Drosophila melanogaster: one gene and its partners. The protein of the gene in region 1 interacts with the protein of each later gene in a pairwise test. Each region holds a gene or a part of one and is shown in the gene's direction. Other genes may lie near its edges.

The links.
Region 2: the proteins of stck (region 1) and 4E-T interact in a two-hybrid assay, tested with the Drosophila melanogaster proteins (one large-scale study listed by BioGRID).
Region 3: the proteins of stck (region 1) and slow interact in a two-hybrid assay, tested with the Drosophila melanogaster proteins (one large-scale study listed by BioGRID).
Region 4: the proteins of stck (region 1) and CG13159 interact in a two-hybrid assay, tested with the Drosophila melanogaster proteins (one large-scale study listed by BioGRID).

The regions. Positions count from the first base shown.
Region 1 is NT_033777.3:8,356,456-8,360,466, forward strand, and holds stck (steamer duck), read left to right. Parts: upstream 1-1,872; 5' UTR 1,873-1,926; coding exon 1,927-1,949; intron 1,950-2,015; coding exon 2,016-2,135; intron 2,136-2,193; coding exon 2,194-2,499; intron 2,500-2,553; coding exon 2,554-2,695; intron 2,696-2,751; coding exon 2,752-3,010; intron 3,011-3,074; coding exon 3,075-3,271; 3' UTR 3,272-3,505; downstream 3,506-4,011. Other genes in the region: veneno, read right to left, coding at 3,640-3,791, 3,846-4,011.
Region 2 is NC_004353.4:952,348-960,139, reverse strand, and holds the start of 4E-T (eIF4E-Transporter), read left to right. Parts: upstream 1-1,747; 5' UTR 1,748-2,108; coding exon 2,109-2,134; intron 2,135-2,250; coding exon 2,251-3,595; intron 3,596-5,089; coding exon 5,090-5,219; intron 5,220-5,276; coding exon 5,277-5,651; intron 5,652-5,913; coding exon 5,914-6,120; intron 6,121-6,240; coding exon 6,241-6,627; intron 6,628-7,678; coding exon 7,679-7,792. UniProt on the Drosophila melanogaster protein: eIF4E1-binding protein that regulates translation and stability of mRNAs in processing bodies (P-bodies). Probably plays a role in P-bodies to coordinate the storage of translationally inactive mRNAs in the cytoplasm and prevent their degradation.
Region 3 is NT_037436.4:4,382,503-4,387,466, forward strand, and holds the start of slow (slowdown), read left to right. Parts: upstream 1-1,939; 5' UTR 1,940-2,125; exon of another isoform or gene 2,126-2,385; intron 2,386-4,964.
Region 4 is NT_033778.4:12,373,460-12,376,195, forward strand, and holds CG13159 (uncharacterized protein), read left to right. Parts: upstream 1-1,826; 5' UTR 1,827-1,909; coding exon 1,910-2,140; 3' UTR 2,141-2,219; downstream 2,220-2,736. Other genes in the region: CG13160 (uncharacterized protein), read left to right, coding at 1-131, 189-369, 426-610, 664-807, 871-1,362, 1,415-1,582.

The DNA.
Region 1 (4,011 bases):
GATTCTCTTATCAATACATATTTTCTAATGATAAGTATCAGCGAAACTGTTATGACATTTGTGGCATTGAATTCTTTTATAGTTTCCCTGCACATTTATTTATGTATTTCCCCAATTGGCGTGTAACATAGCAAAAAGAAAATCAATCAAATTCAATGCTAAAGGGATTTCTTGCCTGCAGCCTAAATTGGCATGCGAACCGGTCTTGTTTACAAACAAATAGTACGTGAAATTATAAGTAGAGGCAGTAAGCTGATAAGAGCGCGTTACGAAACTGTTTCGAAGAAGAACAGCAGTTGGCCAGCAGCTGATAAGAAGGTGAGACAAAGAAGCAAAAATGCCACGCTGCGATAAGCGTGGCGCCTTAAATCGTAAAGTTCTTTTAACTGATGTATTTCGGTAACATAGGCTAATAGCGAATTTAAATTGGCGCCCAGTAGTATTGGGTGTTTATCGATTGACATTCAGGGCTACCTGCCTCGAGAACAGAAGAGCTATCGATAGGCAGGTTGTACAGGGATTTTTTAGTGATAAAGTAGAGTGGTTTTTTCTGCGTCTTTTTCCACGGAAGCTGTTAGTTAAATGAAAAGTAATTTAATTGCAGCAAACTGTGGCTTTAATTAAAAAGGTTTCTCTGAAGGTAAAAAGTACTTTTTCCGTTGAATGCAATTCTTCAAATGTGAACATGCTTAAGTGAAACGCGTGAAATTCCAGAGATTTGCCCATTTTGGCAATATAGGTGTTGTTGTTTTTGTGCTGCGATAGCGCTGCGCAGATCGTCTTCTTGGCTGAAAATCAACCGGATCTGGCTAGAAGGCCGCCAAGCGAGCAGAGCTTAAAGCCAAAAGACACAGATTGATCATTTCTATATGTTTTTGCAGTGTTTCACTCGCCGTGATCAGAAAACGTTGTACACCAGGTGCAACAGGTGCCGTTGTTCGCAAGTGAAAACCAGTTGAAAGCAACTAAAAAAGAAAAGCCCACAGAATGCCGCCCGTGCAGTAAGCAGAATGTTCCGCCCCACTTTCTTAACGTCCTTGTCTTCAAAACGCCCACATATTGCATCATTTGGCAGCATAATAATCATCGTTATCCATTCGCACAAATAAGCATTTCGCTAATTAATAAAAAAATATAACTAATTCAGGCTAGCAGTGCCTATCATTCATGCCCTAATCCAGCGTTAACCCTCTGCCAGTGATGGTGGTGCTTTGGACCCCCATTCAATGCAATTTTCCTGCCAGATGTTTACTCCATCGATGACGTCATGGTCATATTCAAATTTATTTTTAAACGCCGCCACTCGAGTGTGTGTGTGTGTTTGTGCGAGAGTGCGTGTCTGTGTATTGTTTACTCTTCGTATTTTTGTGTGTATTCGTCGGATTTGATTATGATGAGTGGGCCGCTGTTGTGTTGGCGGCAAACCCAATTCCAATTGGATGCTTGAATTTGTAACCCCTTTTGGAGGCCAAGGAATGTTCAATGACTCAACCAGTAATGGGGAGTTGATAGTTACATCTTATTATATATATTGTTTATATACAAACTTTTCAAATGGCGCTCCTGCTTGTAATAATTACTTCAATTACTCATTATAGCCATTCATTGTTATCCAGCTTAAAGCGAATATGATAGTTCTTCGTATATATTTTATATATGTATATATAACCTGTTCCGAAACGATATATCACCAAGCCATCACATCTGCAGCGTATCACGCTTGATATCCAACTGCCATGCGACACTCTCTGTAATGAAAGCTAAACTTCCACGGAATGCCAGAAAGCTTTTTGGCTGTGCATTCGAAGGAAATATGATTCAGACATCGTCAACAGAGCCGGCAAGCGATAAGTCTCATTGTTTTGTCCAGTTTCTCATTTCACGCCCTGCCCTAAAGTCGTTTTTCTTTGCGCTCAAGCTATAACCATGATGTACTCTAAGGCTGAAGTGTAATGGCCTCTGAATTGGTTAGTTACTTACCAACAACTGATCCTGATCTTCTTCTTAATTCACAGAGTCCAGGCAGCGAACATGTCGCTGGGTGCCATGCATTGTACGCGATGTGCCGACGGCTTCGAGCCGACTGAGAAGATTGTTAACTCCAATGGAGAACTCTGGCACACCCAGTGCTTCGTGTAAGTAAACCTCAATGTAGTTGTTTCACTAATACCCTCACTAATAAACATTTTCTAGATGTGCCCAGTGCTTCCGACCCTTCCAGGATGGGATATTCTACGAGTTCGAGGGCCGTAAGTACTGTGAACGCGACTTTCACGTGCTCTTCGCTCCCTGCTGCAACAAGTGCGGCGAGTTCGTCATCGGACGGGTCATCAAGGCCATGTCAGCTAGCTGGCATCCACAGTGCTTCCGCTGCCAATTGTGCGCCAAGGAGCTGGCTGATTGCGGATTCATCAAGAACCAGAACCGCGCCTTGTGTCACGAGTGCAATGCCAAGGTGAAGGCGGAGATTACCGGCCGCTATGTATGCCAAAAATGCCAGTAGGTTTCAAAGGCTTTAGGTGAAAACATGTTGCTAATTACTCTGCTTTTCAGCGGCCTCATCGACGAGGAGCCTTTGCGATTCCGGGGCGAAGTGTACCACGGCTATCACTTCAGTTGCACGGCCTGCGGCACAGAGTTGGATTCCACTGCTCGGGAGGTCAAGAGCCGGCCAGGATTGGCTGCTAACGATATGGTGGGTTTTTTTTTCTTTAGCAAATAAGAAGCAACTGAATTATTATTCCATTATAGAACGAACTGTATTGTCTGCGTTGTCACGATAAAATGGGCATTCCCATATGTGGTGCCTGTCGTCGTCCGATTGAGGAGAGGGTGGTAACGGCGCTCGGAAAGCACTGGCATGTGGAACATTTCGTGTGCGCCAAGTGCGAGAAACCCTTCTTGGGTCACCGACACTACGAGAAGCGGGGATTGGCCTACTGCGAGACGCACTATCATCAGCTCTTTGGCAACCTGTGCTTCGTCTGCAACCAGGTTATTGGAGGCGATGGTGAGTAACTTAATTGAACTATATTCTGGGTTTATTTAATGCGCTCATTCCATAATGCCAACAGTTTTCACTGCCTTGAACAAGGCCTGGTGTGTGCACCACTTTGCGTGCTCCGTGTGCGACACGAAGATGACACAAAAATCGAAATTCTACGAGTACGACGAGAAGCCGGTGTGCAAAAAGTGCTATGACCGATTTCCAAACGAACTCAGACGACGTCTGCGCACCGCCCACGAGATGACAATGAAAAAGAACACCTAATGCCTTGGAGCGAGTCTCAGATCCACACCAAACAGTGCCTTTGTCGTTGTAGACCCGCTTTCACTACCATTTTTAACATTTGAGAAACTAAAACCAAACAAACTAAAACCTCTTGTGCATGTCCTTTCCGTCTGTTGTAATCCGGTTGTGTGTAACTTAAATTTTAAATCGAGAATCAACGGCATCAATAGCTAGGGAACATAACATTGTGTATTAAAAGCCTTTAACGTTGTTATTTAATGGAATTTTATTTATATATAAATGTTTTTAAAATTATAAAACGTAATGCTTATTCGCAATAACTTCGTAATGTGTTTGACCCGATTTAGTTGTGGTGTCAAGTAAATGGCATTTGATGCACTTAAAATTTACAAGCTCAACAGCTTCTGAATAAGACTTCCCGATTTAATTACGGCTATATGGTTGATATATTTGATACTATCAATATGAACTGACTGATGGACCTTCAAAACCTCAGCCAGATAGGAAACCTGTGCTGCATTCGGGTTGTGCGGGAATTCTATAAAGTGTTTGTTCAAATGTTATGCTCAAGACAAATGTTTAATATCCATACCGTCAATCACGCAAAGGTTTGTGGCACAGGGAGCGGTGAAGTCTAATGGATAGCGACGGATATCCATTTCGGTTATGTCCTCTACATTCGTGTAATCGAGGTACATTACCCGGTACTTTGTCTGCTGCCGTGGAACAACTATAATCTGTTCCACTTTGCCACGATA
Region 2 (7,792 bases), on another chromosome or scaffold:
GACGACAAATTCTCACCATACGAAAAATATGAAAAACTTTGATTTTTAATAACTCGACATATGGCTTTATTTGTACCACATTTCTTCGTACTGTGCCATACCATCCCTATTTTGCCATCCTTACGATACCGCCGTCATTATCTTCATTAATGGGTGGGTAGAGACCGTTAGGTCAATGCAGGACGGCATATAGAAATTGGGTGACGCACTCTTAGACCATAACCAAAACTATCGTATATTCTCAAAAAAAGGGGACTATGACTATAAAAATAGCTATGTATTTAACTCTAAACCTCTATAGATTTTGATAGACCATGACATTGTGTGGAACATGATGTCATTTTCTAGACATTGTGCACGAAGATCATTCCCGAAGTCGACCGAACACTTATTCCGTGCATGTTTCATCAGACCGCCGGCAGCATATTTTAGCGTTAGGCGTGCACTTCCTTGTATAACTGTGTACACCTACAAAAAATTTCAAAATCAATCTATCGGGCACGCTCCGTTAATCGAAGTACTTTACGATTTCGATTTTAAAGATTGGTGCTCCGGTTTTCAAATTCGTAAGGATTTTCGATGTGTATAACGGGCACTTTTGTCTGGCCGAAATGAAAAGTATATGCCCATTTTTATATCACGTTAGATCTTAACCAAGGGAAAAAATAGTTCAGTAGTCTATTGATTTATATTCATTAGTTATTTTATATACAATTTATTTCTGACCCCATCAAAAATTTGATATACAAAATTTTGCTGTCGGCAACAAAAATTTTCGATTTGGCATTTTAAAACGCAAGATCGGTGCTCCGGTTTTCAAATTCGTAAGGATTTTTCGATTTGTAAAACGGACACTTTTGTCTGGCCGAAATGAAAAGTATATGCCCATTTTTATATCACGTAAGATATTATTTACCAAGGGAAAAAATAGTTTACTCAGTGGTCTATTGATTTATATTAATTATTTATATTCATTATTTATTTTATATACAATTTATTTCTGACCCCATTAAAAATTTGACATACAAAATTTTGCCGTCGGCAAAAAAAATTTTCGATTTGGCATGGGGTCATGCGTGCGTCGACTAAACTTACTTATAAAATATAAAAGAATTAATTATCTTAATTTAAAAGATGGCCTATAGTGTTCGTAAGTAATGCTATTTAATTTAATTAATTAAACGGTCAAAATGCAGTAAAAAATTAAATGCGAACATCGGAATTAAAATTGTGAAAAAGGTGTCCGCTGGAAAACAGCTTAAACAGCTGTTTACTGTACAGAAAACACTCCGACAGCAAAAAATTTTACGAAATCAAATCGAATTCGGAAACAAATTACGATTATTCGGTAATGCATGCCTGATTATAATTTCTTGATTTGTTTTATATTAAATTTAAAATTTAATAGTTTAATAATATAAAAATATTCTTATTTATATTATATATTATGAGTATTTCAAATGTAAATAATCATATAAACTATTTTATAAAACATCGACGTTACATAAATAAAATTTATTTTTTGTTTTTCAAGTGTAAATAATAATATTAATCATTTTAGAAAACATTCGGCACCTTTACTCGACGCTCATACGAACGGACAGATATGCTTAGTCTGGTATCGCTTTAGCACCAGTAGGAAAAACCTAGAATTTCTTTTCCCACAAATGTCACAACTTCAAAATTCCATTGTTTCACGGTGTTTCTCTTTTAATGTTTCAATATTAATATATATAATGCCTTAAGGTTCAATAAGAACAAAATATTTTCAATGTCTATATCCCACTCCAATTTAGCGTGATATTCACAAAGCTAATCGCAACATTGTGAGCATTAAAAATTGTTATATATGTATGTAAGCGTCTTGGGATTATATTCTCATGAAACTCAACAGTCATATATATGGCCTTAAAATACGTATATATATATATATATATTAATTTTTCAAAGTGTGTGTTTGCATAAGTGGTGTGTACTATTTGTATATTCATTGTACAATTTCTCCCGTTCATATAGGAGAGTGTTCTGTTTTTAATAATTTTGGATATCTTAACTTTTTCGACTTTCTGTAATAAGTTAGATTACACAGTGAACTATAGTCCTTAGCAATGGATACATCAAAGATTAGTGCCAGGTATGTGGATTAAATATTGGTAAATTTTAGTCAACTTTTTCGATATTATTCTCGCGTACTGTTTTTTTAAACTTGTATATGTACTAACATTGTTTTAACAATCTGTTTCACATTAGGTACTCGAAAGTAGACCTGTTAGCTCTAAGATATGAAGGTAAAAGTCGACAGCGCCCGCAATGTTCAACACGACTTGAATTGCAGACGCTAGGTTTTTGGAAAATTAATCTGAACACAGCTGCGTTAACCGTGTCCAGCGCCTATTCTAATCAAAACAAGAATCGACTTTCTCCAGAAGCAGATAACTCGAGCTTAATTTGTTCCAATAGTAGCTCAATAAGTTCACGTCGCGCTATGAGAAATCGAGAACGGGCAAACAACTATTACCAGCGCTTCGTACCTACCGATTCTCTTCTAATAAGTGGGGAGGATAAAGATAAGGATGCGCTTTCTCATGGACAGCCCTATAAGTTGAATATCATCGATCACCGTAGCATATCATCTTCACATTTAATGCCGGCATTTGCAAAGAGGCGTTTTGTCATATCGAAAGGCAGCAACAGCGAGGAAAGCAACGAGGGGATAAACACTTGTGCAAGCAAGGGCAAGGCAGCCAGTTCGCCTAGCCGTAAGGGTAGCGAGTTGGATACTGCTGAGACATGTTTGAATTTTGTTCAGCCGGATCACGACCAATGCATGTCATCTTCACCTACATTTTCAACATCCCGCCAAGAAAGGCGGATTGGTAGCGGTCGGCTGTTGCCAAGAAGTGATAATTGGGATTACAAAAACGAAAAGACCGTAGAAGCCAGCATTGAGAATGAAAAGGAAACATCTCCAAATGGATCTGGAAGTACAAGCAGTCTTAATCAGCACAATCAAAGCCAACATCGTTCTCGAACATTCAGTGGAAGGTTAGTTGAACGTGTTCCCGAAGTCACAGATCGTCGTTTTCAATATGACTCCAAAAAGTCTTTTGATCGTCAGGGAATTAATAATCGACGCATTTCTGGTAAGGAGCCTTTCAGTACTCAAAGCCGAAGCAAGCGTGGCAATTCCTATCTCATTCACGAAGAACCTGAATGGTTCAGTGCAGGACCTAAATCACAGCTAGAAACTATTGATCTACACGGGTTTGAAGACCTGGAAAAAAACGAAGAGCGATCCGTAACTGAAGATAAAAATAATCAAATTCAACAACTTGATAAAAATTTAGACGCGCAAGCAAGCAAAGATGAAGCTTCGATGAGAAACAGCAATGATAGTTTAAATTTCCGCGAAGTCATTCCAAGTGATGAAAAGAAGCACACTGACGAAAATGTAGTGACTTCTATTCAAAACTCAACAGATCTCGGCCATCCCAATAAAAACAAACCAATTCAGATGCAGCCCAGTCAGAATCCTGAAAGTGAATTTAATTTTGATGCCTTTCTTAATATGCATCCCTTGGATAATTCCGTTTTGGTAAATATATTGCAAAAACTAGATTTTAAGGAATGAGTACCTAATCCATTCAGACATTACATGGACAACTTCCGGGTTACCTTTTATTGACGGATCAATAATAGTATTCAAATAAGCTGTAAATAATGATATTAACTCCCGTTACTCAAGTAAAGGGTAAAGAGTTAAAGGGTATACTAGATTCGTTGAAAAGTATGTAAACTATATATTCTTGATCAGGATCAATAGCCGAGTCGAACTGGCCATGTCCGTCTGTCCGTATGAACGTCGAGATCTCAGGAACTAAAAAAACTAGTATGTTGCAATTTAGCATACAGATTATAGATACGAAGACGCAGCACAAGCAAAGACACTAGAATAACAAGATGCGTAACGGCCATACATTGGTTTTGCACTATGCAGCCAATTTTTTAGTGACGGCCAAAATTGCTCTCTTTCCGCTCGCTCCCGCTGAGAGCATAAGAAATCTAAAAATAGAATTTGCTTGCTTGTGTGAGTAAAAACAAGAGACGAGAACGCATATATGTGTGCGTGTTGTGCTAGAAGACGATTTTCGGACCGAAATCAATTCTGATCAAAGAAACGAATTTACATTGTACATATTAGGGTAGTTTTTGTCAATTTCGTAGCAATATGATAAAATAAAATAATTTTTAACTGACTATTATCATTTTAAAGCTTTTTAAATTTGTTTGTTAAAATCGCCGCTCGAATTAGCTACCGTTTACACATTTATATTTATGTTTAATTCTAATTTGTCTCTCATCTGACAATTTTTTAAAAGCGAAATATTTTTTTTTTTAAACACTTTTAATGTTAATGTTACATCATATTAAGTCAAATGACATAATAAATATAGTAAATAATTAAATATGATAACTGTTTATTGCAAAAGTCATATCAAAGACACTAGAATTATTCTAGTGTCTTTGCTTTGTTCATATCTTGAAGCACGAAGTACGGACACAAGCACTCAACAATCATTGCCTTATTAATTTTTCACACGCCGCAAGATGAATACTCTAATGACAAATATTCTTATATAAAGTCATTTTTGAAATTTATTTTTGTGATAATATGTACATAGATTTGGCTATTTCTAATCTATTTTCATATAATAATAACGTTAAGGCAATGCAAAACAAGAATTTTTCGCATGGTGCCAATTGATCAAAAATAATATAGATTTAAAGTCAAAGAACTTCTAAGGTGAAGGGCATATTTTGTGAAATTTACAATGCATGAGCATGCCTGTGTACACATACAGTTGTCTGCTATCACTTTATGCGTTAAAAACAAACAAACAAACCGCCCAGAACTGCCACGCCAACATTTTTGAAAAATGTTCTGATATTTTTTCATATTTTTATTAGTCTAGTAAATTTCTATGGATTTGCAAAAAAAAAAGTTTGCCCCGGCAACTCTAATACCCTAGAATTTATATTTTAAAGGTAAGCTTATTAATTTTAAGATATATTTATTGTACATTTGCAGAGTAATGATGAAACTGGAAAAAGTGACTCAAAAGGAACATCCCGTTTTAGCCGATGGTTTCGACAAAAAGAAGCTGCAAATAATAATGAGTTTCCAGGGTTTCGGGAATCGCATGCTCAAGAAAAACGTGGTATGTCAAGATTTGTAATAATATATCAAAGGCCTTATAGTTCACTTTGTTCTTAAGGTATTCCAAGTGTTAAGGATCTGGAAGCTCAAATGATAAAAGTGGATATGAGGACTGATTTAATAAATCCAATAGCAGGGTCATTATGTCAGACAGTGCAAATGGAAAAACCTATTGCTAGAGACACTGAGGCATTCAAAAAACTTTTGCAACAGTTGGGTTCTCAAGCCAGGCAGCATCATCCATGCAACGACGATTGTCGTACAATAAACCTCTCAAATATAGCAAATCATGTACACCTTGAGTCAAAATTACATCAAAAAATAAATGATGGTCATTTGCAGCAACCAGAGTTAAGTGTTAACGTGCCAACCATGCCAACTAGTAGTCATGTATTTTTGCAAAAGCGTTTGGAAATCCAACATTTAATTCAAAGTAAGATATGTTTCAAAATTCCATGTCTATAAACTTTTTCTTGAATACTTAAGTCCTTTTTCTTGTCCTTATGGTAAAATAATATAAGGTTTCTGGCTGATAAAACACATGAATGTTACAGTTTACCATATACATGTTTACCATCAGAACGGGAACTTATTTAAAGCGTATCTGGTAAAAACCACGTGTTCTTATTTTAATGCTTTTATACCCTGCGCTGTATTTAAATATTATGAAAAACAAAATGTTTAATAATAAATAGGACTTCATTGTGGAGACGTTTCACATGATTTTTTGGAAAAAGAATTGGATAATCCCAGCACCCCAGCAGCCACAAAGGATGTCATTGCCACAGTGTTGAATGAATATTCTCATTCTAAAAGAAATCCGGTGGTCACAGGCGATCCCAATATTTTTACCCAACAATCGTTTCTTCAGCCTCAATCAGTCCATCAGCACTACTCTCAAGGTAAGTAATTCTTGGTTATATGGTAACTCTTTAAAATTCAATTAATATAATATTTGATTCAGTTAAAGTATCTTATTTATTACTAAAATTATTTGTAAAAATTCCTTAATTTTTTTCTAGAATTGCATTCGCAAAATACTGCTAACCATACGATTAATCAGCTAATTTCCCACGGTAACTCTCCAACTCCGTTGGCATTTACTCCTACTTCAGTTTTAAGAAAAATGACAGCCGATAAGGATACGCAATCACCAAGCACTTATTGTCAGAACCCACAATATCATGTACACCAACAAAATGCCAAGCAAGTCGGTACTCGTGAGAACGTACTTGAGCCACAGCTGACCGCAACAATGGCTGTACAGCCCCGAATGATATTAGGCGGTGGAAACTTTGCCATTGGCCAAAACAATCAACATTTGTCTCCCAACATGTCACAAAGTCGTAATCAACAAGTGTTAAAGTGGACTTCTGGCAATATGCAAATGGTCCACGGAAAAACATTTGGTAAGTTACACAAAAAAGTGTTAGCTATTATTAAAGTACATTTATTAGTTAAAGCTTTGTTTTTTTTTTTTTGCTATAAGTTTTTTTTACTCGTTCTCATAAACTTAATGTAAATGTATATGAATTTCAAGAGAAATTATAAAAATCGTTGAGTTACCATAAAAAGCGTGCAAATACGCAAATACAAAATTCAGTTCTTAAAAGAGGATAGTATAGGATAGGAGAAAGTGGATGCTTTTTATACCCGTTACCCGTAGCGTAAAAGCAAAGACATTAGAATAACAAGATACGTAACGGCCATATATTGGTTTTGCCAAAGACATTAGAATGACGAGTAACGCCATACGTTTTTTAGGATTTTTGTTGACTTTTTCATCAATTTATTAGTCTCTTAATCAAGTAAATTTTCAAAAGTTTTGGTGGCTTTGTGGGCGTGGCAGTTTTGGCCTGTTTGTGGGCCTTAGAGTGTCCGCAGCATCATGACTCTCTCAAGCTTCTCAACTCTCTAGCTTCTATAGCTCCTGAGATCTCGATGGCCAGATCGACTCGGCTATTGATCCTGATCAAGAATATATATACTTTATATGGTCGGAAACGCTTCTTTCTGCCTGTTACATTCTTTAAAACGAATATAGTATATCTCTACGAGAACCGGGTGTAAATATACAACCTGTAGAATAGCTAAATTGGCTTTTTGAGACACGACGTGCGTGCACGTATATACTTACATAATATAGAGAGTATTTTTTAATAGACCAAAAAATAAATATTCATATACACAGTTTGCTTAATTTATATTCTGTGCAAGAAGTGTACCCTACAATTTTGATTATTCTTGACTTATTGGGGTAATGAAAATTACGATTATTTAGTGGAATTTTTTGAAGTGGACTTTGTTTTAATGTAGTTATCTGTGACCCAAAGCAATATTTTATTCTCTAGGAATAAATATCTTTGTTAAACAACGCGATATAATAAACTTGAGATCTTCGACTTCTGTATTAATGGGTTCAAAGACTTACACATTATTATTTTGACTTACATATTTTAGGCCGACCTATTCTGAAAGGAGGTCTTAATTCAATGCCGCATTCCAATTCTGCACTTCCTTTTACTGCCCATAAAATTGAAATGCAACCCATTCATCAACCACATCTACAGCAGC
Region 3 (4,964 bases), on another chromosome or scaffold:
GTTCTTAACCTTAGTAAACCTTTTAAGCATGGCTTGTCTTTCATACTTCTCATTAAAAATATATTGCCTGTAACAAAATCGAATCCATTATGCTTTCCCACCTAAACCAGTTAAGAAGATACACTTTGGCCACATGTTGTCGGTCATCAAATGGCTGTCAAATTACCTAAACTCCAATGCAGAGCTGCTGCAACTGATGAAAAAGATCGTGATTATGACGAAGGCGATGGGCAACCCACACGAAATGCTAATGAATTGTTATCAGTTAATTGTCTGAGCGGGGTACCCGGCTTTGTTATCTCAGCTCTTATGCTTTTATGCTTTATTTGAATTCGATTTGGGAACGCGGCGTGGGTGTTCCCCAAACCCAAAGTCCCCACTCAAGTGGCAGCTAATAGCCCAATAAATTGTGATTGTCGGCGGCGAGGAAACCGAAGCAACACACACATAATATTAAGAGAAGACCGTAGTACCTTTGTGCAGCTAAGCGAACTGTCAATGGCTGGCACATTGTTCGATTTATGACCATTCTGTTGGCCAGGGAATGTGCAACCAGTTTATGGGATGGATTCGCACGGACGAATGCTGAATGCTGGATGTTCCACAGCGCAGGCGCAAATCCTTTTGACATGTCCAATGTGCTCAGCATTTAGACAGTGGGCAGCTATTCTGTTGCCAGTGGCTAATAGTATGTGGCAATGCACTTGGCGAAACTATTGTATCTAGCACAATCAAAAAAGTTATATACAAAAGTGATTATGCTTAAGGAAAGTACTGTACATATATAATATAACAGACTTACTTAGGACATGAATTAAAGTACATTTAAAACCTTTATCATGTTTAACCCATGAATTTTTGATTAAATCTAGACTTAGTGGCATTTTTCGAGTGTGGTTGACAGTAGCACTCTTATGATGACAACGACAGATCCAGCACCCGATATGGACAGAAGGGCTGGAAACGAGTTCTTCTTCGCTCTGGGACTCGGATTCTCGATGTGAAAGATCAGCGAGCCGTGGCCTAAACTGGCTGCCCGGCAGCGGTGGGTAAATATTTAACTTAACAACTTGCCACCGACCGAAGAAGATGCAACAAAAGCAGCCGTGGCCGCAAGAACAACAACGGCGGACCATAAAAAGCACAAACCGCAACTTCCAAATAGTTTGAACTGTGCAGAGAGTGCAGAGATGATCCTCCTATAAACAAAACAGCTGTAACGCACTCAAAAACCAGCCAACGACCAGCCGAGGGCATACCTGCCCACTGCGCCGCCCACCACCCACCACTGCGCCCCTCAGCCCCACCACAAAGAGTTCTTCCGCCTGGCGAATTCATCCGCTCCACAGTTGCATCGAACAAAGGAAGCCAACTTGTGCCCCCATCGGTCCAATTTCGTTTGAGCGAACCAGCCAATGTGCACCGAACATGGGCTTCGACTGGTCTGACAGTGCAGACCAGCTGGCTATTTCTAGCTGTAAAAAAATATATACAGATTATATACAGACTAATAAGAATACACCTGAGAAACATATTAAAATTCCACTGATATTTAGCAAGATAAATTGAGTAGTAAAATCTTACATATTTGTAGAAGTTTGTGTGGCTTCTTATTTTAGAGAAATTTACCCTTTTCAAAATTTTGCTAAAATATCAGGTAAAGATATTTTTAAAAACAAATATATATGTAGATTTCAGAAAACTCGACGTATTTTCTACGGCATCTACAGTTATCCCGATTCCAAAGAAGTAAACAAAAAGTAAAGTGTGCTACTGATATATGAATGAATCAATGTTTAAGAAAATAACTAAATATTTACCGATGTTCGGAGTGTTCAGAGTATACAATCTATATACTTTTGGCTCCACTTTCCGACTGCACTGGCAGCGCCGTCGATCGCCGATCGTTAACTGGACTTTCGGTTTCGGCTGTGCATTTTCAGTTCGTCTCGGGACTTCTAAGCGATCGGTTTGGATTTCGTTAGCTCCGCCGCGCCAGCTGGAAATTTGTATCTCAAAGATCGCAGCCAGTTCGCTCGGTTTTTGTGCCTGGCATACGGAAGCGGCTAACGCAGAATCCGGAAAATCACAAGAGCCGTATATATTTCACAAATATATATATATAGTATGTTTCGAAAAGGCCCATTCACGGCCATTAAAATATTTTATTGTACAAAAAAGGCACAGTGCCGCGTATCTGCTTAATGTCAGCGCGAAAACTCAATTCAATTTATTGTTTGTGATTGCAAATTTGGCATAATTGTGCTTTGATTTATTCGCGCGTGTTTCGGGTCATCTCTATAAAGAGGAATTTTAAATCTGGGCAAGATTATCTCTGTTTTTCTCTGAACACTGGCTGGGTCAGTTGGAATTTGTTCGCCGTGTGTAAGTCACATGCAAATAGCTTTAATTAATTGCAATTACTTATGATTTGAATGTGTGTCAAAGCGCGGTGCGACATTTCCTAGTGCATTAATCTTGCTCAAAATCGCATTGCCTATCCTGTCTAGGAGTTACATGTCACTTATGGACGTAATTTGCATTTTTGTGGAGCGGCTAACTAAGTTGGCTTACCATTTACATATGCGCTTTGGCTGCCAAACAATGCCATAAATGGTCTAAGAATTAATTATCGTGAGAACTTCAAGACAATGTCTTTATTAAATAATTGTCAATAATTCTGAGTAGTTTTCAATGTACAATTTGTGATAATTTTCTTGGTAATTTTCTACGGTAATTTGCACCTTGATAAAAAGTGTTTAAGACAGTGTAATTTGTTTCCGTGTTTTCTTCAATGCAAATTATTTATTTCGAAATGGCAATAAATTGCTCAATAAATTTTATTTCTTTCAACAATGATCTGATAAAGGATTAATTCATTGCTTCGTTTTTGCGTAAACAAAGATTGTTCTGCGGAAATCTTGTAATTTATTTTTACTCTTTTAGATAAGTTTAAAATATATATATTTTATATAACCATTTTTCTTCACTATCGAAATGAACATTTTATAGCCCAACATTATTGCTGACATGAATGCAACCAAAATAAATATGTAAATCTTGTGACGTTATCGCCATCAAAAATTAGTGTAAATAATGTGACAAAGCGGAAAACGACACAAATCAAAAATAGATGTATCAATACTTTCCATTGTTTAGACTAGTTTGGCTAACAATTATGCATACATATGGCTAAATGAGTTTCGTTTTTTTTTTGTTTGCCCCAACGTGCATTCTGCATTCTCACACATATCGTTTGGCAGGTGAGCAATCAGAAATCGAAGTTTGGGGCACGATCCGTGGAAAGCGATCGTGCCTTTCTGCGTATCATAGTGTCTATACAAATGTTATTATGGTTAACGCCACTGGAAAGTGGGGTGGAGTTTGTTGTTGGTTTTCTTGTTTTTCCTCGACTTTGCTAATTAGACAAAGTCATTTCCATAAATTACGCAGCTAACGGTAACTGGGTTTATGACTTTTGTCCGGCTTGGTCGCGGGTCAACATGAACCATAGCTATATGCATACATATATATGGATATATACTATTTGTTCATATGGGCAATGGGTCTGCGGGGCACGTGTGGGCGTGGCCTCCGCCCCCTTGCAGCTGCAAAGCAATTAGCAAAAGACTGGACATGCCAGCAAATTGAGCTCTGCTGTTGCAGTTTTTCCTTTGGCCTTTTTTGGGTCGCTGCAATTGTTATTGAAATGAGTTTTCGCGTTAAAAACAGTTGAACTTGCTGGAAAAAGGTACATGTATCTCACAGTTATCGATCACAAATGAGTAATTGGCCATTAGAAACGGAATATGGTCACAGGATATCAAATAAAATGAAATTATTATTGAAGGCTATACTCAGCAGTATCTGTAATTATAAATCCATTAAATCTAAAATTGTGCAATATTTTTCTCAGTGTGCTAAAGGGGGTTGGTGAGGCATGCGACTTTTGAGATGTCAAACTGTCGATGTTGAACACGTTGCATAGTTTTCGCTTTTCATCTCCGACTTTGTTAGGGAAGAAACGCAGCCACAAAGGCCAACAACATTCCTTAAATTGGATTGAAAGTAACAAAGTGAAGTGTAAACAAAAATTGCGATCGATACCCCCCCCCCCCCCCCGCCGTTTTGTTGATCTTGTTAAAAAATAAAAACATTCGCAATGAAATAGTGGGGAGGCAACGTCGAAAGTAAACGAGATACAAACTCCGCGGAAATGTGTCATGATCTTGCAATATTAAAGACAGCGACACAATATCAACAAATGAAACACAAAACAGCACACACTATTAAACCACATGCGAGTATTTTGTTGGCCGTGATTTTTCTACCCATCACGGCTGTCATGGCTGTCTTGGTTGTCTCGTGGGAAAAATCAAGATGAGCCCGGCAGCCAGAACAATAAACAAAGCCAAGGAATGAATGAAATGTGTAACCCCGACGCAAATATTTGGCAATATGTCAGATAAGATATATTCGATAATTTCCCATCGCACTGGGTTATTGAACTCAGAGAGCAGCGTGAAAATTATATCGACAGTGGGTGGCTTTTCTTTCGCCTTTTCCCACCCCATTTTCTCACACAATTCTCCGGGTGCGATCGATCGTACGGTGCAGTGCAGTTTTCCCGAGATCTAAGGCATTTTGCGGCCCATCTCGGCTGTCTAGATAATGTTAATAAAAGCAGCGTTGAAAAGCGTTTGCAACAGCAACAAATTGGAAAATTTGAATTTTCCTCGAGCGGCCATTAAAGAAAAGCTGCAGAGTTACCAAACAATTGCTGGGCTGTTTGGGGATTCTCCTCGGCAGGCGGCGTTAAGCTTTTAGTTTATCTCTTTATAAGAACTTGAGGAGCGGCCCCGATTACACAAAACATAAATAAAAACGCAAGCTAAACTGGCAGCTGTTTGGAATTGCACAAAAAAAAAGAAAATGTTAAAAAAAAAAATCGAAGAAAGAGCCGG
Region 4 (2,736 bases), on another chromosome or scaffold:
CCTTTTATGATTGGGGAAATAGAACGTTGACCTATTTTAGCAACAGTTGGCTGGTCATTGGGTTGTACATTTGTCCATCGGTTATTGGCCTTGTACTGCCCATGACCCTCTACTTGACGCATACGAAGTGTGTAAGTAGTATCACTTGTTAACGAAGTTATTTTGTTATACTAAGCTATCCTCTGCAGAACAAGATCCCCCATACTTATTACTTGCATATTGTGGGTCACGCGAACTGTGTCCTTTTGGCCATCTTGTGTTTGGGTGCAACGGCTCTTAAATACCGTAGTGCCTATCTATTTCTGATCTCTCTCATTTTCTACGTTGCTGCTCTGATCATTAACCTACTGACCCGTCTCCATTGTCGCGGTAAGTTAGCTTATATATTCGTGGAGAACTTTTAATGATTCATGCCAACACTTTAGGTTATCTGTGGTCACTGGTGCTGATTGTTTTCCAGATTATACCCTTCATTTACCACGCCTACTTGTTCCACATGTTCATACTTATTCTCATTCCGATGACTGGTCGCTTTGGCGTCTCCACCAATCCGGATATACTAATCGGCGCTCTATGTGGTTTTGGCACAATTTTGGCGTTATCTTTTGCTGTAAGAAAGTTATTCACATTTATTGACTACTTTACTTAATCAGTTTCACTTAGGCTCCTTTAATCAATGTCTTTCGGCGACCGAACTGCATGCTGGGTGGTCTGGCACTGGTTATGTTTATTTTCTGCATGATTGCCGTCTCGGATGTCGGATTCCCGTATCGGCCCAAAACAAATGTCATGCGTGCCGACTTCATGGTAAGGGAAACACTAATAAGCATCCTTTGAAAGACGACTAAGTTCTATTCTTTGTCGGAGCAGCAAGTGCATCGCAAATTTTTCGAGTACAATGGTTCCATCAGCCACGAGGATTCTGGCTACTACTTCCATCTGGGGGATCGAAACAAAGAGGCACCTCTGCGCGATCACATGAACCTGACCAACCTGGTACGCCTGGGCGAGGATTGCGACTCCGAGCTGATGTGCGGTATTCCCTGCTACCGATATTGTAGTGCCCGGGAGCATGCACTTTGGCTTGCTCGAGAGGAGCCCGTGGAACTGCCTTATCCAACGGTCTTGGAGTTCCTTAGCAAGACAGTTCTGTCCGGTGGCTATCAGGTGCGCTATGAGTTCCGGCTAACTGGTCCGCCAAATATGGGTCTGTTCTTCAAGCCACTGGATGGTGTAAAACTACTCCGATGGACGTTTGCTCCCGCAATGCTGGATAATCCGGCCACTTACAGGCCTCCTCTGGAGGTCATGTTAACCTACGGTATTGATAACACTCCCATCGAATTCTTCGTGGAACTTTCTGTGCGTATTTAATGGGTCGTTCTGATAACTATACTAACTAACTGATTCTTAGAAGGACGATGGCAACTTCAATGAACCCGTCTTTGAGATGGGCGTCTCTGGACACTATGTCAGTCCACATGATAAGCGGGATGCGTTGAGCCTGGAGTTCCTTGCCACACTTCCGGACTTTGCCTTCTCGATGGAGTGGCCCAGTAGCTACGAACGGCATATATTCTAGGATAGTTAGCTAATAAGAATACCAAGTCATTGACACTCCCAACCCGAAAAACTTTTATTTTTCGGAAAATGGAAGGGGATCAAACATTGGATGCATTTCACAATGAGTTGGTCGGTAAACATTGGTGGGGGAAAGCTAGCAATGTAGCAAACGGTAAAGGAACCATTTGTGCAAACATTACAGGGAATACTACGACTGCCGCAGTCAAAATATGGGTATAAATAGTGAGGCCTGGACCAGCGAAAGACACACTCAGAGTTCAGCAGCTCGTCCGTCGATAAGCAACAGCCAGCCAGCAATCCTAAAAGCCCAAAAAATCCAATCAACATGAAGTTCTTCGCTGTCCTCGTCTGTTTCTCCGCTGTCCTGGCCATCGCAATGGCATCTACCGCAACTACAACCAGCACTCCCACAACGCCCTCTTCGCCCACGACGACGACGTACACCTATACTACCACCCCGACCTACCCCACCTACACCTACACCACGGACACCACCACCACTAAGCCAATCAAGCAACAGCTCCTGTCCCTGCTGTTCAACAAGAAGTCCGGATAGAGCCGCCCATCCGATCCACGATGCTGCCACTTGATACGATCCTCATCACCTGAATAGCCAAATAAAAACACCAAATACCAAAAAACAAACAAGCGCCGTCTCTTGCTCTCACACAATACCGCAATCGAAGTTAACCATCTCACGTAGCATTGGGCGGTGGGACATTTGGGGCTTTACTTCCACCTCCACCTCCATTTCTACTTCGGCGGTAACTGACATTTGCTCAACTGGCAACGGAACGCCCCGGCTCAGGCATTACCGCCTTTTGGCCGGACCTGTTCAAGAAACATCTGTTCGGCTGCCGCAAAGGTCAAGCGGCACTTGCCACATTCAGTTAGCTGGTGAGTAAGTCAGTTGGCCAGCCAGACATGATCATGGTCAGGTGGCAGTCATAATCCCGCCAATGATGATCATCAAGCCGTTGAGTCAAATGTCTAATGACTGCACTGACAAATTGATGTAGGAATGCAGCAGTCTGTCCCTATTCCTCTCACGCTGCCGAGGATGAGTTATGAATGTCAAGCTGGTCATGTTCAACACGATCCGAGATGATCATAGTGCCTCCAACGCCCCTCGCAATACAGGTGCACAGTGGG